Linked DNA regions of Mus musculus. The protein of the gene in region 1 interacts with the protein of each later gene in a pairwise test. Links are inferred from orthologs where the notes say so. Each region holds a gene or a part of one and is shown on either strand. Other genes may lie near its edges.

Region 1 (10,673 bases):
TTTCCCTGGTAGAGTAAAATATTCCGTCTATTAGGAGTTCTTCCATAGTACCCTATTGTAGCGGTGTACTAATTCCTAAACAGCAACACACATTCTCAGTACAACTTAGATGGTACTACTGGGCTTTCTCCTCACTAGTTTTAACCATATTATTGCATTCCTCTGAAACTTTCAGAGGTTCCTTATTTTCAATTTTATCAAGTTAAAACTCTTCTGTCTGGTTTTCTTCAGTCCTTCGAAATTTGTCTCTCAAACAAACTTAATTTCATTTTTGAAATCTTATTTCTCACAAGCTACTCTTTTAATGTTTGATTGATGTGATATGTGTTGTGGGTCATGATGCATCCTTCTGTTGGAAGAAATTACTCCCCCCCCCATTATTTCCAGAAGAAAAATTCTACCCTTCCTTTAAATACCTTCTTATGAAGTCATCTTTGGCTTCCTTTCTTTCTGTTTTTCATTCACCGACTTAGGAGATTTTTGAACAGGAAGAGACTTCTAAAATAGACTGGTCTTACCCTCACTTTGCATAACACGCACCTACAGTTATTTGAGTCTGTGATTCTTGCATTGTTATCTTGATGGGTTTTTGAATCACCATGGAAACAAACCTCTGGTCCTGCAAGAAGAGTTTCTAGATTAACTGAGGTGGGAAGACCCAGCCTAATTGTGAGTAGCACTATTCCATGGCCTGGGGGCCTGGACTGAAGAAAAGTCCCCCCAGTACCGGCCATCTATCACTGTGCCTCCTAACTGCAGAAGCAAATCCCTAGCTGCCTCCGCGCCTGCCGACATGCCTTCAATGCTACGACAGACTGTATCTTCCTAAACTATAAGGCAAAACAAAAACCCCTATCCCCTCTAAGCTGCTGTTGTCAGGTAGCTCAGCACAGGGATGAGAAAGTAACAGACACGTTACGTTAGCACTGAGCTCATAGGGGACGCTCACTCAGCCAGGTAGACTTCTTAAGTCTTTCTCACCTCAGGTCTCACAATGCAGGTCCATAATTTTTTTTTTTTGAAATCTATACACATTAGTTTGAGTTGACAGAATATGAAAGGAAACTTTAGCTTCCACAGGACTTAGAAAATTGTTAATGCTCAAGTAAACAGTATAGGGAACAATGAACAGGGCCTAAAATAAGGTTCAAACAGTCCAGTAGTTCAATCCGGAGGAGCCTAATTTCCCTAATGGGGACTTTGAAACAGAAATGGTTGAGGTAGAACGCATCCCTGTGAGATCATTCATTTTTATTGTGGTTAAGTTCAGTTGATTCCTCCAGTGAGATCCCTTCAAACAATATCCCAAGCATCGTGGGGAAGAGGCAATTGGCTCCCTACGATTGGAAGAAAGACATCCTCTCTCTTCCCGTCTATCCTCTGTGCAGGTCCCTCCCAGTATGTCTCCTTTAAGGGATTTTAATCGCCTTCCAAAAGGCATTACTTAGTGAAGTTTTATCTTTCTCACAGATATTTTCCTCACTGCTCTTCCTCTCAAATAAAAACCATTTCTCAAGCCATGTCAATTTCCAAAAGAACTTGTTATCCAAATGAACAGGTTAGGTATGGACACACACACTTCATGGAGGAATCCGTAAACCTCTAAGTTGTACATTACAAACCTCCTCTTCGCTTTCTAATAGGCCTACTCAAATCTTGCCACTGCCTATCTTGCAGTGGGGGGATCGAACTGACTTCTGAGAGGACCTCTTGACTTAAGAAACATCTTCCTGGTCGTTGTTTGTGTTCATGACGAGTATTGTAAGCAATTGTTCTTGTCGTTTACCTTGTTTGAAAGCAGGGACATCTAGGAACACAAAGAGCGAACACAGTCCGACACTCAAGCCAGTAGAGAAACTTTTTCTTAAAATAAAATAATATAGACTGGTTGTTCTATTTAGTTATTGAATAACTGGAGAAGTTTAGGCCTGGTATTTCCTCTCAGTCCCATGCTCCCAGAGATAAAACTCAGACTCAAAATATATTTACAAACGCATTGGCCATATAGCTAGATCATAACTTAAATTATCCCATTTATTTTATTCTACATTCTGCCAGGGGACTGGGCTCAGGTACCATGTGTCCATCTTGTCCCATCTTCCTGGGTGAATCTCCCATGCTTGGCTCTATCCCAGAATTCTTTCTTCCTCCCAGATGTTCCACCTTCTATTCTACCCTTTCCTATTGGCCTTAGGTTTTTGAATTGACAGGTGAAGCATCCATACAATACACAAGATAGTCTCTCTACAAATAATTGTTCTCACTGTGAGGTGTCAAGTTTATTTCTTTATTTTTAAAATGTCTTTTATTCTTTTTAGGAAAAATCTCAACACCATTCTTCTTCTTTAACATATATGGATGCTTTGCTACAGAGTATTTCTGTGTACCACGTGAATGCATGGTGCCCATGGAGGCCAGAAGAGGGCAGTAGATCACCCGGAACAAGAGTTACAGGTGATGATGCACCTCCATGAGGATGCTGGGAATGGGAGCCATGTCCTCTGCAAGAGCAGCCAGTGTTCTTAACATCATTCTTGCTCTCTTTTAGGAAAAAATCATAGAGACAACCGAAAGACTTTTAATTATGCAGTAACTTCCACTAAACATTTGCTCTGTTAGCTCTGTTCTCAGCACTGGTGATCTAACAGCCAAAAAGGAAAGGCAAAAATTACCGTCTTTCAGGATGGATGCTTAAACGTGATCGCTAAAGGGCAAAATACACGCCATTCTAGTGATAATATTGAAGAGACATAAAGTACAGAGGTGTGGATATAAAGTGGGTGTACAGAGTCTGGATGAAATGGTATAGAAGGGCTCCTCACACAGGTAACTTTGAACTCAGAGGTTCTCAGCCTTCCTAATGCTGCCACCCATTAAAACAGTTCCTCATGTTGTATATAGGCCCTCATGGTGACCCCCTAATCATAAAATAATTTTGTTGCTACTTCATAATTTTATTACTGTTACAAATCATAAATTAAATACCTGTGTTTTCTGATGGTCTTAGGTGACCCCTGTTACAGGGTCATTTGACAACCCCCCCTCCCCCCACCAAGGGCCATGACCCATAGGTTGAGAATAACTGTTTTAGACAAAAATATTTTAAAAATCATTATATTCCTATAAAAGGAGAAGAAAGAATTGTGTATGTTGGCACATTCCTTAATCCTATCATTGGAGAGGCCACAGGAGAACTGATATGTTTGTGAGATCATTTGGGCTACACAGTGAGTAGGCCAGCCAGGACTATATATAGCAAGACCACACTTCAAAAACAAAACAAAACAAAACAAAACAAAACAACCCAAGAGGCATTACATCATTCCTTAAATGAGCCACTTCTAGGTATAGTCCAAAAGAGTCTCACTATAGTTATGTCAATGTATTGGAGTTCAACATGATCATCATGATTGCCCTGCACTGTGCCTTTAATTGGTGAGAAAGTCGAAGGGGTGGCTTGTGGATGCAAGAGGAGCACAAATGATGCTTAAACTAATGCCAGGTGGGAGGACAAAAACCCAGCTGCCTTTCCAATTTCAATGCATACATGCAAATGAAAGCTAGACATACCCTGAAATTATTGTGATATGTAATTAGCAAAGGAAGTAACAGGAAACTTAAAGCAACTTGAAACAGAGAATGTAGAAGACATTTGTGAAAATTAAGGAAAGAGAGAGAGAGAGATCAACCATGTGAAGCAATAGAAAGACCTAGCATGGTCTTTTGCAAACATTTGGGAAAAAGAAGCAGAACAAGGCACGTGCATGTTTGTAGACTTGGGGGGGGGGGTGGTCTTACTGACTGAACTGTGCCCAGCCATCGAGCAGAAATCCCTAAGACATCGGAATGTGACCTTGTTCAGAAATCAGGTCATTGCAGACACCAGAGTCAAGATTGGGAGTGGCCTTCCCGATCTTCATGACCAGTGTCCTTATAAATAAGGGAAAACTGGACACATAAGCACGTAGGGAAAATATGTGAAAGCTAGAGTCATATTGCTACAAGGCAAGGAAGAGGTACCCTCAGAAGATGTGTGGTCCTGCCCTGGTTTGTCTTCTGGGCCCCAGATGCTCAGTAATTTTGTTTGAACCCTGTGTATAGAGATTATTACAACAATCCTAACAGCCTTCTGCAAGATGAATTATAGGCAAACAGGAAGAGTAGTTTTCTTCCAAGAACGGGTGTTTAACATCTGTATCAGTCTATGCCTGAGCTGCTGTAAATAGATCACACCTGTCTTTAATTATGTTGCATTTTTATTTCAGAAAAAATCACATAAAATCCCAGTACCTAACATATCGAGATGCTCTTGTGATCTGTGCCTGTAATATTAGCGACTGGTCTGTGAGAGTCACAGATGAAGAAACAGCCCCTTCTGGCAGCAAGAGTTGCAGCTCCTCTTCCTACAGATCGCCACAGGCCTGGGATAAAGTCCAGGCAGGCAGGGGTCAGGACACGTGCAGGTCTCCTACTGTCTCTTCTTCTTCCTTCTCCCCCTCCTTCTTTTATTTTACGTTATTATTATTATTTATTTTTTTGGTTTTTCACAGGCGGATTTCTGAGTTCCAGGCCAGCTGGTCTACAAAGTGAGTTCCAGGACTGCCAGGGCTACACAGAGAAATCCTACTGCCTCTTCTTGGTGCAGAGCCCAGTCTGGGACCCCGAGCCCCGCGAGAGCATGTGGGAGCATTTCGGTCACAGTCCCCGGGCGGCTCGTCATCCACCGAGTTACCCCCGCCCGTAGGTGGACTTTCAGTGTTTCTGATCTCAGCACGTCTTTCCTCCCTGGCACAGCCGGAGTGCGGCGGACACAGCCTGTAGGGTCCCGCCCGACGGGTTAAAGGGCTTTAGGCACTGGCTCGCCGAGGGTGACCTTGCGACCGCTCTCCGCTGGACCGGCTTTCCCGCCAGCCCCGCAGGACAGCCTGATGCGCCCTGGGGACGCGCCCGCGGACATCTACGTCCTCCTGCTCCGCCACCCCGCACATGCTCGCCTGGGGCGTGCGCTGCCAGGCACGCTCCGGGCTGAGACTTCCTCCCGGGAGGCTCCGTCCCAGCAGCCCGGAGATCTGAGCCCTGCTTCCGCCCCTCGAGCAACAGCCACCGAGCTGTACCGCTCCGGTCTGTAGACGCACAGCCCCCGGCGGGCTAAGCCTCGCCGGCCGTGGGCAGGAGGCAGCACTGGCCGCACTGAGCATGCTCGGCGGAGAGGGCGGGGCGCTCGGCGGAGAGGGCGGGGCGCTCGGCCGCGCGTCGGGAGGGCGCTCCTCAGGACGGCTCGGCGCCTCCGCGCCAGCCCGCCCGCCCGCCCGCCCGCACGTTCGCTCGCTCGCTCGCTCGCAGCCGCGCCCGCCGCAGGCTGCGCCCGGCCGCCCCGCCCCGCCCCGCCCCGCCCCCCGCCGCTCGTCCCCGCCGCGGCCGCGCCGCCCGCAGCCGCAGCCGCTGCTCCTCCCCGGCGGCCGCCCCCCGCGGGTCCCTCCCTGGCTGCGGGAGACGCGGAGGTAGAGGGAGGACGCCGCCGCCGCTGAGCCGCGCCGCCCGCACCCGAACCCTTCGCCTCGCCCTGCCGGTCCTCACTCTGTGGGAGGAACATGGGTGAGTCCTGCCGGCCGTCATCGCCTGACATTTTCTTTTCTCCCCCTCGGCGTGCTGCAGGGTGGCAGTGCATCTCTCCTGCAAACTTGCCGGGGTCCCCGGGTCCGCGAGGTGCGGGGCGGCGGCCCTCCCAGGGGGAAGGCGGGCGCACGAGGGCGGCCGGGCCGGCGGGGTCGCGCACGGGGTGGGGTCGGCGGCGGGCTCCGCGCTCGCCTCCCCTCCTCCACGCTTCCTGCCGGCACCGGGCCGCGCGGGGCGTCCCCGGGGCTGGGAGGCCGCGGTGCTGCAGGCTCGGTCCCACGGCGAGCCCGACCACTTGGCGGAACTTCCTTCCCGTGGGCGCGATCGCTCCCTCCCCGGCCTGCCGACGGCCGGCGCCGGTGCGGGGAGAGCCGGCAAGTAGTTTGGGAGGGCGATGGCCAGCCGAGTGCCGAGCGGACAGTCTCCAAGGTGGAGGTGGCGACTCGCCCGCCGCCGCCGTGGGCAGCGCGAGGCTGGCGGGAGCCGCTAGCTGTTGAATTAGTGTTGGGAGACTACGGCGTGCACAGTTCCGGTCCTCAAGCGGTTTTCTGGATTTCTCCTGTAGCTGGAAACTGTGCCCTGTAACACATTGTTAAGGAATTTACATGCTGCCTGTTCTGCCCCAGCTGCCCCTGCCTAAATCTGTATAATCTGATTCTAGTTCCATTGTACTTATAGTTAATCCTAAAAGAATGGATACTTCAATGCAAATGTTTTATAAAACTGTTTATGTTTGAACGTGAGATTCTCCTCAGATATTGCCTACCTGTGCATAATTACAAAAGCACCGGATACAAATCTCTTCTGTAATTAAGGGCGAAAAGTTTCCTTTGATAGTAACAACTTAGATCATCTGTCCAGTACACGTTCCCCAGTTTGCTTCTATTCCATAATTTGCGTCTATCGTAATTTCCCCTTTTAAAAACTGGCTTCTTCGGCGTCCCTCCACACGGACTTTGCCCACTCCTTCTGGGCAAGTTATTTATGAGTGTGGTCCTTTCATCTGTCAACACAGTGCTCAATGCTTAGAGTTAGATCATGGCAATACAGAACCCTCCAGGAAGTATCAGAATCCTAGAAATGATGTGGTAGCCTTTCCCGGAAGACCAAATACTCTTAGCTTTGAGTCAGATCTTTGTCATTTAGTAGGAAGAGGACCGTTGGGGGAGAAGGAGGTGGTTTTAATGAAACAAAGCAGAACAAAACACCCATGCCCCTGAATTTTATTTTCACTTGTTTGTCTTCCAAGTGAGTATCACTGACAGTCGGAACATTTCTATAAAAAAAAAAAAAAAAATCGGTATCCCATTTGTTCGTCCCTTTATAGAATTTTAAAAGAATACTAATCCAGATTACAGATTAAAATCTGCGTGTTGGAAAGTTTTTAATTACACTTACAGGTTTGGTGTAGAAACAAGTCTCAGTTTTTTAAAGGTGAGATTTAGTTAAAGCTCATTTTAACTAAACGTTCAAAATGTTGAATCGGTATTTTTCCCCCAGTGGGGGTGGATATCCAAGGTCTGTTGTTGCAAATTAGGGAATAAAAATACCTAAAACAGATTAAGTTACTTAATAATCTTGCAAATCTTGAATGCTGATGGGTGATTTAAAAGGGGGGGGGGAGAGTCAAATACAAACCCACTTTATTTTGAAGCTTCTCAGAAACTCTTGTTTATGTTCCCTCCTGTTAGCACTTGGGGTACCTTGTTAGAAGTTTTGTTGTTTTGTTTAAATAGCACCCACATAATGTCTAATGGAGTTATTTGCATATCTAGTTGTTTTGAGCATTTAACTTTATGTTCAAGAAGATGACATTTTATGTCTTAAGTTTTGTGTCTTTTGTGAGAGTTTTCACATAGTAGGTGTTCAATAAAATTTGGCCAAATTATTCTTTACACTGGCATGTACTTTCTGCTCTTGAACTTGAAACGTAGGCCCTAAACGTTGGCGTGAATTGGTAGACATGGAAGTATAGAAAATGTCTTGCTGTAAGGCCTTTCACTAAACACTGGTTACATTATTGCAGGGTGTGGGTTTTGAAGGCAACCTTAGGTATATAGTTTCCTTCTATAATGCTGTTTGCAGTGATTAAGATGTCTTTGTATGATCGAGAGGTATATACAATAATAAAACATTAAAACCTTGGAAGATAATTTTATATCTGAGCCACAGAAGTTAAGACAACTCCTAAGATATACTAATTAATGGTGGGGGAAGGGATTATTTTTTAACTGTCTTTTAAAGAAATCAATAAGGTGCATTTTATTTATTTTAGGTAGTCTGCTTTGTTTTTGTTGTCTTGGGTAGCAAACCCCAGAGCCTTGTGCATATTTGAGTCCCAGCTGGAACCCTTAAAGGGTATTTTTATGGCAATAGCTTTTCTCCATAAGAAAATGAAGAATATTTTCTATATAACCTCACAGATCCCAGCTGTGACTTTAATTACTATAAGTGTATATGTTATTGCAACCCAATATTGATCAAAACTCCATCCTATGGAGTGTACGGTGGGGAGGCAAGAATGAGTGATACAAACACACTTACGGTTTCCTATACTCTCCAGAACCATATGAGCCACAAATAACTATACTAAAAATGAGTGTGTGAGTCGCAGGAGTAAAGGCACACACCTGTATTCTCACCACAATGGAAGAAAGGCTGAGGCAGGAGGATCAAGAGGACTGGTGGGTTTGAAGCCATCCTGGGTTGCCTGGCTGGATTAAAAAGAAAAGTTATCCTGTCTCAAACAGCAACATTAAAGTCTTTATTCAACATGAGGAAATCTGCAAATGATACAAAGTATCTTTGCATATATTAGGAAGCTGTTGGGGATGCAGAGGTTTTAGAGAAATGTTATGTGAACCAAAGGTTAGTTAGGTTTCTAAACAGTAGAAATGAGAATGCTGGAAAGAGGGGTATGGGGTAAGATGAAAATAGATAGGGAAGGTTAGAGATGTTTCTAGAAAAGTTTATAAAAGGCCTTGTTTAGCTAGAGAAAAATACAGAAACGTTGGGAGACAGAAGTGAAAACGTATTACCAGTCACCAAATAGTGGTAGGTCTGAAATGCTGGGCTGAAGTTTGCACTTGTTGAGGGAGTCAACCATTAAATGTATTCATGGGGCAGAAGGTTGCTGTTCTCTTACCTGACCATAATGGTAATTTCACAGTAGTCCCTCACACTTCTTCGACATTCCCTTCTCTTATGTCTATGTTGTAGCATAGTATAGTTTGTTTGTTTTTAAACCCCTGTGGTATCTTCTATTGGAGATTCTGGTTTAACATTAGTTTTAGAGAGAGCAAAATCATCTAAACCAAAGTCTGTTTTGATTATAAATTTTACGATATTTGAAATTCAGGTTTGAAATGTGCCCAGTATCTCAGATGGCTTATATTCGTTCTGTCTCTGCATGGTGTTTTTCTTTAGTTTTCAAATGGCAGTTTCTTTCTTAACAAAGCAGCTTAAGTGTTTGGGTCAGTTTGCTAGCTATACTAGGGCTGAGATAGGGACTGTATTCAGACTGCAGAGGAATGGAATTTGCTTGGTACATTTATTTATACAGGATTGTTACTTAAAGAATTCCTGGAATTAAGCCAGGGATGAGGCTAGTGATAAAGGGGATGGCTATAAAGTGGGCTGCAAGCTATGACCAGCTGTGTTTGTAAAGTTCACAGTCCCTCTGGTGGTTTTTTACCCCTCTTTTCTTTCCAGAATGACTTTAGATACCTAGATACCTGTTGTATAGACAGACAGACAGACAGACAGACAGATGGACACACACACACACCAAAAACAAACAAACAAAAAAAACTTGCTACAACTTTGTATCTACCAGATTATTAGACAACACTATAAAAAATTATTTGAAACTCATTTTAGTTCAAAGTTAAACTGAATATATAATTAATTGAGATTTAATTTTAGTGATTATCAGTTTGCTAGTGTGATTATATTGTGTACTCACCTTATGGAAATAATAATTTCATGGACACAATAATAAACTATAGTGAAAAATGTGGTGCTTTGCTTAATATAAATACCCATTTTAATGTGTCTTATCTAACTGCCCATCATTTAATTTTTAATAATGGTTTTAATAACTGTCTCAGATTTTCTAAAAATGAATGAACAAGCCTCCTGGGCCAGTAGTCTTCAGACCATACTGAAGCAGTAGTTACCCCCTGTGGATGCCAGTTACCATGTTGCACTTTATAGAACTTAAAATTTAATCTTCTTAACAGTTAATAGGGTGACACACTCCCTATTTTACTGATTCAAAGAAATAGTTCCTCCAAGAGGATAAAACATTCCAAAAATCTTAATTTTTAAAGTAGTCATTTTCAAAGTTTAGCTTGCCTAAGAATCATCTGGAGAGTTTGTTTAAAACACGATGACTGGGCAGCTCCCAGTTCTGATTGAGTTGGTTTGCATCGTTGAGAGAGTCTCAGGTGAGAGCGGGTATTGGGAATAACACCTCCACGCAGCAGACGTTGGCAAGCTTTTTCTGTAAAGGGCCAGATGGTAAATATTTTAGACTTTCAGGCCAGGAGGCAAAGTCAAGACTGTTGAACAGGAAAAAAAAAAAAAGAAAGAAATATATGACGAACAAATATATGAAAACAAACAATTGCAGTCTTTTGGTTGAATTCAAAACAACCAATATTGATTGGACAGTTTGTGTGGTACAGGTTGTTTCAAAGGGTCACATGACAATTATGGTTCCAAGTCACCGAATTATCAGCATTGATTATAGATATTCATCGGTTAGTGCAGAGCTCTAATGAAGTTTTTCCACGTAGGTAGTGCCGGGTGCACATAATTCTTCTTGTTTTGGATACGCTGAGTGTTAAGCCCAGGGTTCTGTGCGCCTCTGTTCCTAATGAGCCTAGCTCTCGTACAGGAGGCATTTAGAGACTTCTTGTGTTCTTGATAGTTCCCAGTTGGCATTCAGATGAGCTACCTCCAGTTGATAACTCAGTCAGCTCTTAGTGAGCTTGTGAGAGAGAGGCTGCAACTGTAGTTTTGGCTTGAAAAGTCTGTGTTGTAGTAAATATTCT
Region 2 (10,573 bases), about 36 Mb from region 1:
ATTCTGGTGAAGGGTTCTGAATATCTTTCTCTTCATCCCTCCCAAAATCTGGAATACTTATTCTATTGAGCTATTACACCAGTTTTAACACCTTCCTCGTGTTATGTTTAAAGAAAAAAATAAATAAATTTAAGAAACCATTTTAAAATTATGCACAGTTGCAGCCTGGAAAACTTAAAGGTGGCGCCTTATAGTGTCAATTTAGGAGCTTTATTTGGTGCATTTAACGCAACTGGTAATTGCAAATTCCACTTGGCCTGTGTAAGTGAACAATGCAGACTGTTACTTTGTTGGCCCTATGAAATTCTGCACTCTAGTCAGTATATACTCTACCTTCATGACTTAACACTCAGCTGCATTCTTTTCCTATTTTTTCCCTGTTCATTATGCTTTAATTCTGAGGACCATATGAAGGTAGAATATATTACCTTTAAAAATTGCAAAAATTTATATAGCAAACGATATTCTTAAGTTGATGGCCAAATGTTAAAATGTTATTTTCATATCATTTATAATCTTGTCACAATCCACTTAACGAAGTTTGATTACATTTCAGTGAAAATTATCTTCCCGAGTAGTTTTTTTTTTTTTTTCTTCCTGGGATGGGGGGGGTAAATAACTTTACTACAATTAGTATGTGTGGTGCAGAATTTCATGCAAATGAAGTGTGCCAGCAGTGTGATAATTTAAACATATTTAAACAAAAGACGAATGCACAAAATTGCTGCTGCTTAGATCACTGCAGCTTCTAGGACCCAGTTTCTTTTACTGATTTAAAAACAAAATGAACAAAAAAATAATAATAATAAAAAAGTTGTGCCTGAAATGAATCCTGTTTTTTTTAATAAATAGCCCCGTGGTTCCAGTGCCCTGTTCAATACAGGCACTTGATCCTTGGTGTAGCTTCTGTTCAACTTTGTATCACGGGAACGGATTGGCCTGATTTCTCGGCCTTCATCTTGAATTGGCCCCAAACAGGGTCCCTGGCAAGTGGAGTGAAGGCTTTTTGTCTAACAATGACAAGGGTCAGCTCAGGGGTTGTCGGGGAGGGCGCTTTCATCTTCCCCGTTGTCATTTGAGGTTTTGAACTCTGGGTAAAGAGGCCGTTTATCTTTGTAAACACAAAACATTTTTGCTTTCTCCGGTTTTATGTTAATGGCGAAAGAATGGAAGCGAATAAAGTTTTACTGATTTTTGAGACACTAGCACCTAGCGCTTTCATTATTGAAATGGGGGCGGGGCGGGGCTGGACTGGGTGCGGCCGGCTGCAAGACTCTAGTCGTCGGCCCACGTGGCTGGGGCGGGGACTGGGGCGCCTTGGGCGCCTAGTGATTACGTAGCGGGTGGGGCCGGAAGTGCCGCTCCCTGGCGGGGGCTGTTCATGGCGGTTTCGGGGTCTCCAACAGCTTCTCAGGTTGAAGTCCAAAAGCCTCCCGAGGCGGGGTCTGCGGAGTTTGAGGTAAAGCTCCGGCCTGCCTGGCGTCGGACTTCTCAGCGTGTGAACGCCTGGCGGGGCGGGGAGACGCGGAGACTTGGCGAGCTGAAACAAAGGCTTGGGTGGGGGACTCTGGCTGGCTCTGGGGTGATTTTCGGAGCCGGAAAGGGGAGTTTCGGGAAGTGGTTGTGCCAGGCGGACCCCAGAGCTTGGGTTTGCAGGAATTGGAAGAGGGGGGTTCTTTTCCCGTAAACTGAGGGCGGGGCCGAGTAGATTGAAAAAATAGTCGCTGGTCTTTAATCCAATAATCTGGCCCGCACTCATCTGCAAGGAATGCTATGTTTCTGAATCACTTTGAGAACTTAGTGGAAGGCCACGTGTATCGAATGGGTGCCTTAGAAACAGAAGAGTTTGGTAAACTCATAGAAGCCCTTGAAGTATTGTAGGTTTGGTTTGCCAGTTTAATCGTAATTGCTGCTTTTCTACAGGTTTTTGCTGGTGTGAAATGACTGAGTACAAACTGGTGGTGGTTGGAGCAGGTGGTGTTGGGAAAAGCGCCTTGACGATCCAGCTAATCCAGAACCACTTTGTGGATGAATATGATCCCACCATAGAGGTGAGGCCCAGCCCCTGCCTGGCCCTTATCCTCACTTTGGGCTTTCTCTTGCCCATAACGGCTCTTTGAAAGTAAAGAGAAGAGAAAGCAAGGAGGTATTCCAAAAAAGCAGTAAACAAGTTCGTGCTTACTGAGGATTTCCTTTTAAAAGAACACAGTTTTCATTGTTTCTTTATGTCACAGCTCTTTAATAGAAACGTAGGTCACAAGGAAAAAGATTGTAGGCGATCATACAGTGAGGATAGAGAACTCAGAGCTCTGGATAGTCTGAAGTTGTCATTTTTGATCTAGTCCAGATTGAGTTGGGGTAGAAACAAGTTGAGATTTTGAGTCATTGTATCTAGGAATTTCTTCACAATTTAGTTACGGATATTGAGGAAAATCACCTAAATCCTTACAAGTCTCATATTTCTATATGACGTTAAATTTCTATCACTTCCCTGGGATTAATGGTGCAGGTATGTATAAGTCCAATTTGTAAGCATTCAAGAGGCTGAGGGAGGAGGTTTCAATTTCTAGGCTTGCCTGAACTACTTACTGAGGCCCTGTTTACAAAAACCAAATATTTTTTTCATGTGTAAACCTGTTCTAACACACAGGAATGTTAGTTAAATTCAGATGTCTACACAGGTTACATTTTAATATATTCATGAAACAAAATATAAGCACATTTCCAAAACCACAGATAAGGTCTTCTAAGTTTGGACTATTATATAATAAAAATAAGAATTTGGCCATAAATCCATACTAGATGTTTCTGGTTTTGTTATTTTTTATTAGTGGTTTTGTTTTCTTTGGTTTTTTGTTTTTGTTGTTGTTGTTGTTATTGTTTGTTTGTTTTTTGTTTTTGTCTTAACCTCATAACTCAGGCTGGTTTTGTTTTTGTTTTGTTTTTTTTTGAAACAGGGTCTCACTGCACTACCCTGGCTGGCCTGAGACTTGAACTCACAGATATAAATTCACCTGCCCTTATGTCATGTGTGCATGCATGCGTGTGATTATGTATGTGTATGTTTGTTTGCTATTCATGCTACTGTTAGCGGGTTGAGGGTAAATCACATAGGTAGGCGTATTCATCCTGGTTAATTACATTTCTCTGGTTTTAAATAAAGATTGAGCCTGTCCTTGTCCCCCCCACCACCACCTCCTCACTCTTTCATATTCCCAGGATTCTTACCGAAAGCAAGTGGTGATTGATGGTGAGACCTGCCTGCTGGACATACTGGACACAGCTGGACAAGAGGAGTACAGTGCCATGAGAGACCAGTACATGAGGACAGGCGAAGGGTTCCTCTGTGTATTTGCCATCAATAATAGCAAATCATTTGCAGATATTAACCTCTACAGGTACTGGGGATATTTTCTGAAACAAAAAATTTGTATGTGCTCTGAAACTATACTAAAGTATATGGACTTAGGAAACATACAACTTTTTAACATTTTGGTGATATTGTTTTGTTTTGTTTTGTTTTGTGGAGGCCAGAACAAGTGCAACAGCAGATATGTGCCATGGGAGGCAGAAGACAGCTAATAAAAGCTCCCTCCTTAGGGCCTGGGCATCTTGGCTTAGTTAGCAGGCGCCTTTGCCCATGGACCATCTTTAAACCCCAAATATTAAAAAGAATCTGCTAGGCAGTGATGGTGCACACCTTTAATCCCAGCACTCAGGAGGCAAAGGCAGGCGGATTTCTAAGTTCGAGGCCAGCCTGGTTTACAGAGTGAGTTCCAGGACAGACAGGGCTACACAGAGAAACCCTGTCTCAAAAAACAAAAGAAAGAAAAAGAGAAGAATCTGATTTTCACTGAGTGTGTGGTGTACTGTCACGGTACTACTCGGGAAATGGGGTCTGCTACAGAGTAACAGTAAGACTTCTCAGAGAACTGGTGAGTTTCAGAGCTATTTGGGCCCTAAGGATTTTAGTACAACATTCTTACTCATTTTACATTTTTGAGACAGGATGTTGCTATGTATCCCAGACTTACCTTGAATTTAGCACTTGGCCTCAGCCTTCCAAGTGCTAACTTTATAGGTATATGCCAACACTCCCAGCCAATATTCTGAGTTCAGAGGTGTTAGATTTTCAGAGTTGTTGTGATTTTTCTGTTTGTTTGTTTAAGTTTGGTCTGGTTTTAAAGACAGGGTTTCTTTGTGTGGCCTGGAACTCTTTGATCAGGCTAGCCTTGAACTCACAGAGCTCCACCTGCCTCTGCCTCTGCCTCCCCAGTTCTGGGATTAAAGGCATGCACCACCACTGCCCATCCATATAGCAGAGGTAGACCCCCAAAACACTGGGTCTCTCTCTCTTACAGCAGCATTCTATCTTTAGTCACTGTCAAAGTTAAAACATGGCTCTGTTATTAATTAGCTAAGTAACTTTAGGACAAAATACTAAATCTGTGTGTCTCTGTGTTTCTGAATTTATTATAAGAATACCTCCATCAGCCGGGCGTAGTGGCGCACGAGGTGTTGGCAGACTTACAAAGTATACACAATGGGTCAGACACTGTTCTGAATATGTATGAATTTGTTTACTCTTGGCAACTTTATGGGGGAGGTATTCTTTTTTAAGAAGATTTAGTTTTATTTCTGGGTACGCGTTGTTTTGCTATGTCTATGCACACATGGGCCTGGTGCTCAAGGAGGCCAGAGGAGGGTTCCAGATGCCTTAGAACTGGAGTTATAGATGTCTGGGGCCCTGTGTGGGTACTAGCAATTGAACCTGGGTCACCTGAAAGAGTAGACAGTGTTCTTAATCCCTGAGCCATCTCTCCAGCCTTGAGGGAGGTTTTTTTTTTTGGTTTTTTTGTTTTTTTAATTTTTTGAGACAGGTTTTCTCTGTAAAGCCCTGGCTGTCCTGGAACTCACTCTGTAGGCCAGGCTAGCCTCAAACTCAGAAATCTGCCTGCTTCTGCCTCCTGAGTGCTGGGATTAAAGGCATGCACCACCACACCCGGCTAGAATTTTCTTAGTGTTACGTATCTTAAGTTATTTAGAATCCATAAGCTCTACTTTCTGTACTTTTAAGCTTAATCTAAAGAACCTTTTGTAGTTTCCAATTAAACCCAGAGCCAAGCTCCTTGGAAAATATAGGAGCCTAACAAGGACATGCATCAGTATATTGGAGCTGGAAGTGAACTGGTATTCACAGCCTCATACAGCTTCTACACCAAGTCTAAATTGACATTCTTGACTTAGCAGGTCTAGAGTTGTATGAGTGTGTAAGCTGAGTAATAGTAGCTGGAAGGATTTTGTAAATTTACCACTTCCTTTTGTGTGCCAGCGTACTCCTCCAGAAAGCTTGCTTTGCTTATTATGATCAGCTGCCTGCTCTTTGTTCTAGGGAGCAAATTAAGCGTGTGAAAGATTCTGATGATGTCCCCATGGTGCTGGTAGGCAACAAGTGTGACTTGCCAACAAGGACAGTTGACACAAAGCAAGCCCACGAACTGGCCAAGAGTTACGGAATTCCATTCATTGAGACCTCAGCCAAGACCCGACAGGTATGCTAGAGATTCAAGCAAGTGTGAGTAAGTGTTTAAAGCAGAGATGTTTGATTGATCAAGTGTGGTAGAGATGTAATCTATGTTATGTATAATGGGTTTTGGATAGTGGTTTCTGTATAGTTAGTCTTTGTTTCTTGTTAAACTTTTCCCCTCTTCCCCTATCACCCCCCCCCCAAAAAAAAGAACACTACTGTACTGTGGGATTTCGTTGTTGTTGTTGTTGTTGTTGTTGTTGTTGTTGTTGTTGTTGTTGTTGTTCGAGACAGGATTTCTCGTGTAGCCCTGGCTGTCCTGGAACTCACTTTGTAGACCAGGCTGGGCTCCATCGAATTTAGAAATCCTCCTGCCTCTGCCTCCCAAGTGCTGGGATTAAAGGCATGCGCCACCACTCCCTGGCAGGGAATTCTATTTCTGCTTTAACAGGCTCAACTCTTCCAAGATTAAACATTCTCTAAGCATGAATCCTTTTTTCTGTCAGCACTTGCCACTATTGAGGACTTAACTTTCCTGGAGGGATCCTCACAGTCAGTAGTTCTGTACTGTACACCCACCTTGCCCTTCTTCCTTGGCTGGACTATCTTTGTGTTGTTTGTTTTGTAAATAAAACATGCCAGTTACCAGTGTGATCCCCTAGGAATGCTGAATTTGGTGTCTTCTTCCTAAGTCACCCCAATTTATCAGCTATTGATTAGAATCAAATCCACACAGAGAGGTGGAAATGAGAGGTTACAACTTGAACTGTGCCTGTTGTTCGTTAGTTTTTTTGTATGTGTTTTTTTTTTTCTTTTACTAGGGTGTGGAGGATGCCTTTTACACACTGGTAAGGGAGATACGCCAGTACCGAATGAAAAAGCTCAACAGCAGTGACGATGGCACTCAAGGTTGTATGGGGCTGCCCTGTGTGCTGATGTAGTAAGGTGAGTGTGTGCTCTTACATTGGAACCATAGCTTCTACTTAGCATTAGGCAGTTCAGAATAGTGCCAGCACTACTGACTTTTGCAACTTAAATGAGAGTTTTCATATATTTGCAACTAGAAAATGCAAATATATATTTGATTCATATGCCAGCATCCATGTTGGGTATCTCGTAGCCAACTGTGACTCCAGCTCCAAGGGATCCACTGTTTATGACCTCCACAGGCCACTACATGTCACACACACAAACAAATATTAAAAGTAAAATAATTTGGGGCTGGAGAGATGCTCAGCGGTTAAGAGCACTGACTGCTCTTCCATACGTCCTGAGTTCAATTCCCAGCAACCACTTGGTGGCTTACAACCATCTGTGATGGGATCTGATGCCCTCTTCTGGTGTGTCTGAAGAGAGTGACAGTGCACTCACATATATAAAATAAATAAATCTTTAAAAAAAATAAAATAATTTCCCTCATAGCACCTTTTCAGGGAGTGCTAAGATCTAATTAATTCTTTCAGCATTTATTCTACAGACAGCTTCCTATTTTTAGTATAGGAATTTGAGACCTATATGTGCCATGATTGTGGAGTGGACACATTGAAGATGCCATACTAAGGATTGACAATATAGACACTAAATGACACTGTGTTCTTTTGTTGTAGACACTTTGAAAGTTCTGTCATCAGAAAAGAGCCACTTTGAAGGTAGGACAAGTTTGAAATGTCTTGATTGACACTGAGTTTCCTATCCTGGTTTCTCTTACCTCCGTCTCTGTTTCAGCTGCACTGATGCCCTGGTTCTGACATCCCTGGAGGAGACCTGTTCCTGCTGCTCTCTGCATCTCAGAGAAGCTCCTGCTTCCTGCTTCCCCGACTCAGTTACTGAGCACAGCCATCTAACCTGAGACCTCTTCAGAATAACTACCTCCTCACTCGGCTGTCTGACCAGAGAAATAGACCTGTCTCTCCCGGTCGTTCTCTGCCCTGGGTTCCCCTAGAAACAGACACAGCCTCCAGCTGGCTTTGTCCTCTGAAAAGCAGTTTACATTGATGCAGAGAACCAAACTAGACATGCCATTCTGTTGACAACAGTTTCTTATACTCTAAGGTAACAACTGCTGGTGATTTTCCCCTGCCCCCAACTGTTGAACTTGGCCTTGTTGGTTTGGGGGGAAAATGTCATAAATTACTTTCTTCCCAAAATATAATTAGTGTTGCTGATTGATTTGTAATGTGATCAGCTATATTCCATAAACTGGCATCTGCTCTGTATTCATAAATGCAAACACGAATACTCTCAACTGCATGCAATTAAATCCAACATTCACAACAAAGTGCCTTTTTCCTAAAAGTGCTCTGTAGGCTCCATTACAGTTTGTAATTGGAATAGATGTGTCAAGAACCATTGTATAGGAAAGTGACTCTGAGCCATCTACCTTTGAGGGAAAGGTGTATGTACCTGATGGCAGATGCTTTGTGTATGCACATGAAGATAGTTTCCCTGTCTGGGATTCTCCCAGGAGAAAGATGGAACTGAAACAATTACAAGTAATTTCATTTAATTCTAGCTAATCTTTTTTTTTTTTTTTTTTTTTTTTGGTAGACTATCACCTATAAATATTTGGAATATCTTCTAGCTTACTGATAATCTAATAATTAATGAGCTTCCATTATAATGAATTGGTTCATACCAGGAAGCCCTCCATTTATAGTATAGATACTGTAAAAATTGGCATGTTGTTACTTTATAGCTGTGATTAATGATTCCTCAGACCTTGCTGAGATATAGTTATTAGCAGACAGGTTATATCTTTGCTGCATAGTTTCTTCATGGAATATATATCTATCTGTATGTGGAGAGAACGTGGCCCTCAGTTCCCTTCTCAGCATCCCTCATCTCTCAGCCTAGAGAAGTTCGAGCATCCTAGAGGGGCTTGAACAGTTATCTCGGTTAAACCATGGTGCTAATGGACCGGGTCATGGTTTCAAAACTTGAACAAGCCAGTTAGCATCACAGAGAAACAGTCCATCCATATTTGCTCCCTGCCTATTATTCCTGCTTACAGACTTTTGCCTGATGCCTGCTGTTAGTGCTACAAGGATAAAGCTTGTGTGGTTCTCACCAGGACTGGAAGTACCTGGTGAGCTCTGGGGTAAGCCTAGATATCTTTACATTTTCAGACCCTTATTCTTAGCCACGTGGAAACTGAAGCCAGAGTCCATACCTCCATCTCCTTCCCCCCCCAAAAAAATTAGATTAATGTTCTTTATATAGCTTTTTTAAAGTATTTAAAACATGTCTATAAGTTAGGCTGCCAACTAACAAAAGCTGATGTGTTTGTTCAAATAAAGAGGTATCCTTCGCTACTCGAGAGAAGAATGTAAAATGCCATTGATTGTTGTCACTTGGAGGCTTGATGTTTGCCCTGATAATTCATTAGTGGGTTTTGTTTGTCACATGATACCTAAGATGTAACTCAGCTCAGTAATTCTAATGAAAACATAAATTGGATACCTTAATTGAAAAAAGCAAACCTAATTCCAAAATGGCCATTTTCTCTTCTGATCTTGTAATACCTAAAATTCTGAGGTCCTTGGGATTCTTTTGTTTATAACAGGATCTTGCTGTGTAGTCCTAGCTGGCCTCAAACTCACAATACTCTTCCTGGATCAATCTCCCAAGTGCTGGGATTACAGGCACATTCCACCACACACACCTGACTGAGCTCGTTCCTAATGAGTTTTCATTAAGCAAATTCCCCATCACCTTGAAACTAATCAGAAGGGGGAAGAAACATTTGCTATGCTCCTGAGTGCTAACACTGGGATCATTCACATGGGGTTTGCATTCCTAGGCAAACTAAACTGCTGCCTTTTACAACAAGGCTCAGTCATCTTCCTGAAGCTGCTGAGACCAGCACTTGGTCTTGTTTTGTTTTAATATGTCTATATGACTGGTGGTGGATCCCTAAATAGTTTATTAATTAAACTCCAGTTAAGGAGAAAGTTACTCACCTTGACCCGTTTGACCATATCCCGTGTGTGTGTGTGTGTGTGTGTGTGTGTGTGTGTGTGTGTGTGTGTGCACGCGTATGTACGTACGTATGTATGTAGGTATGTAGGTGGTTTCCAGTATAAACACAGAAACAAATGGAGCCAATTCAGGTTTCAGATGCCCTTACTAACATATATTCCCACGGGGTGTGGGTTTTGGCACAACAGTGACAAACTTAAAAGCCAAGTAAGAGCCGGGCGTGGTGGCGCACGCCTTTAATCCCAGCACTTGGGAGGCAGAGGCAGGCGGATTTCTGAGTTCTAGGCCATCCTGGTCTACAGTGAGTTCCAGGACAGCCAGTGCTACACAGAGAAACCCTGTCTCGAAAAGCCAAAAAAAAAAAAAAAAAAAAAAAAAAAAAGCCAAGTAGGTCCAGTTGGTATAGTATCAAAGTGTTTTTAGAGTAATTAGTGAAGGTCTGCTTTACCTCAAAGTTGCAGAGCCTCTCTTCCTGAGTTTAAGTGCCTGGCCGGCAGTCACAAATTAACATGTTGCTGTAAGGCAGTTAGTTGAAGCTTTGTTCACACATTGGAGAGTATGAAAATAAAGTGTTCTAAGAGCGCTGATACTGGATCTGTGTAAACCTGGTAAATGCCGTTTGTCCAGGACTTAGCGTGTGTGAGTTGGTAGCTCAGTACGAGTTTACTAGTTCCGCAGTGTGTACAATGGAGGCGGGTTTGTTTTAGCTGGCCACCTGTAGAATCAGCCTTTAAACTGCTGTGAACTTTGTCATGACTTGAATATGAAGATAGACAAAAACTCTGTAAAGACAAATGTTTGTTTTCCCCCTTACAGAACGTGTGAGCTTGGTTTTATCTTCCTTTGTATTTAGTCATAACCTCTCAAGCTGGCAGCTCCGACCAAGGATCAGAAGCTGTGTGCGTTCCACCTGGTGGAATTAGCTCAGCTCTATATGAGAAGTGGAGTTAATGGAAAACGTGTTGACTGGGTGGTTTCTATTTAAAAGAGTGATGATAATTCTTGAACAGTAGTTTTTATTTTGCTATTTCTTTAAGCTGACTGATGTGCCACAAAATTATTTTAAGG

Evidence for each region. The genes of interacting proteins can lie anywhere in the genome.
Region 2: the proteins of Rap1gds1 (region 1) and Nras interact in binary tests that used the Homo sapiens proteins (3 or more experiments, as listed by UniProt). The link is inferred for Mus musculus from reciprocal best matches to the Homo sapiens genes RAP1GDS1 and NRAS.

The regions. Positions count from the first base shown.
Region 1 is NC_000069.6:139,069,958-139,080,630, reverse strand, and holds the start of Rap1gds1 (rap1 GTPase-GDP dissociation stimulator 1), read left to right. Parts: upstream 1-5,429; 5' UTR 5,430-5,591; coding exon 5,592-5,595; intron 5,596-10,673. UniProt on the Homo sapiens protein: Acts as a GEF (guanine nucleotide exchange factor) for the Rho family of small GTP-binding proteins (G proteins) that stimulates the dissociation of GDP to enable subsequent binding of GTP.
Region 2 is NC_000069.6:103,056,982-103,067,554, forward strand, and holds the start of Nras (GTPase NRas), read left to right. Parts: upstream 1-1,303; 5' UTR 1,304-1,459; intron 1,460-1,485; exon of another isoform or gene 1,486-1,557; intron 1,558-1,580; exon of another isoform or gene 1,581-1,603; intron 1,604-1,614; exon of another isoform or gene 1,615-1,773; coding exon of another isoform or gene 1,774-1,849; intron 1,850-1,923; coding exon of another isoform or gene 1,924-1,940; coding exon 1,941-2,051; intron 2,052-3,219; coding exon 3,220-3,398; intron 3,399-5,392; coding exon 5,393-5,552; intron 5,553-6,348; coding exon 6,349-6,468; 3' UTR 6,469-6,472; intron 6,473-7,134; 3' UTR 7,135-7,176; intron 7,177-7,252; 3' UTR 7,253-10,573. UniProt on the Homo sapiens protein: Ras proteins bind GDP/GTP and possess intrinsic GTPase activity.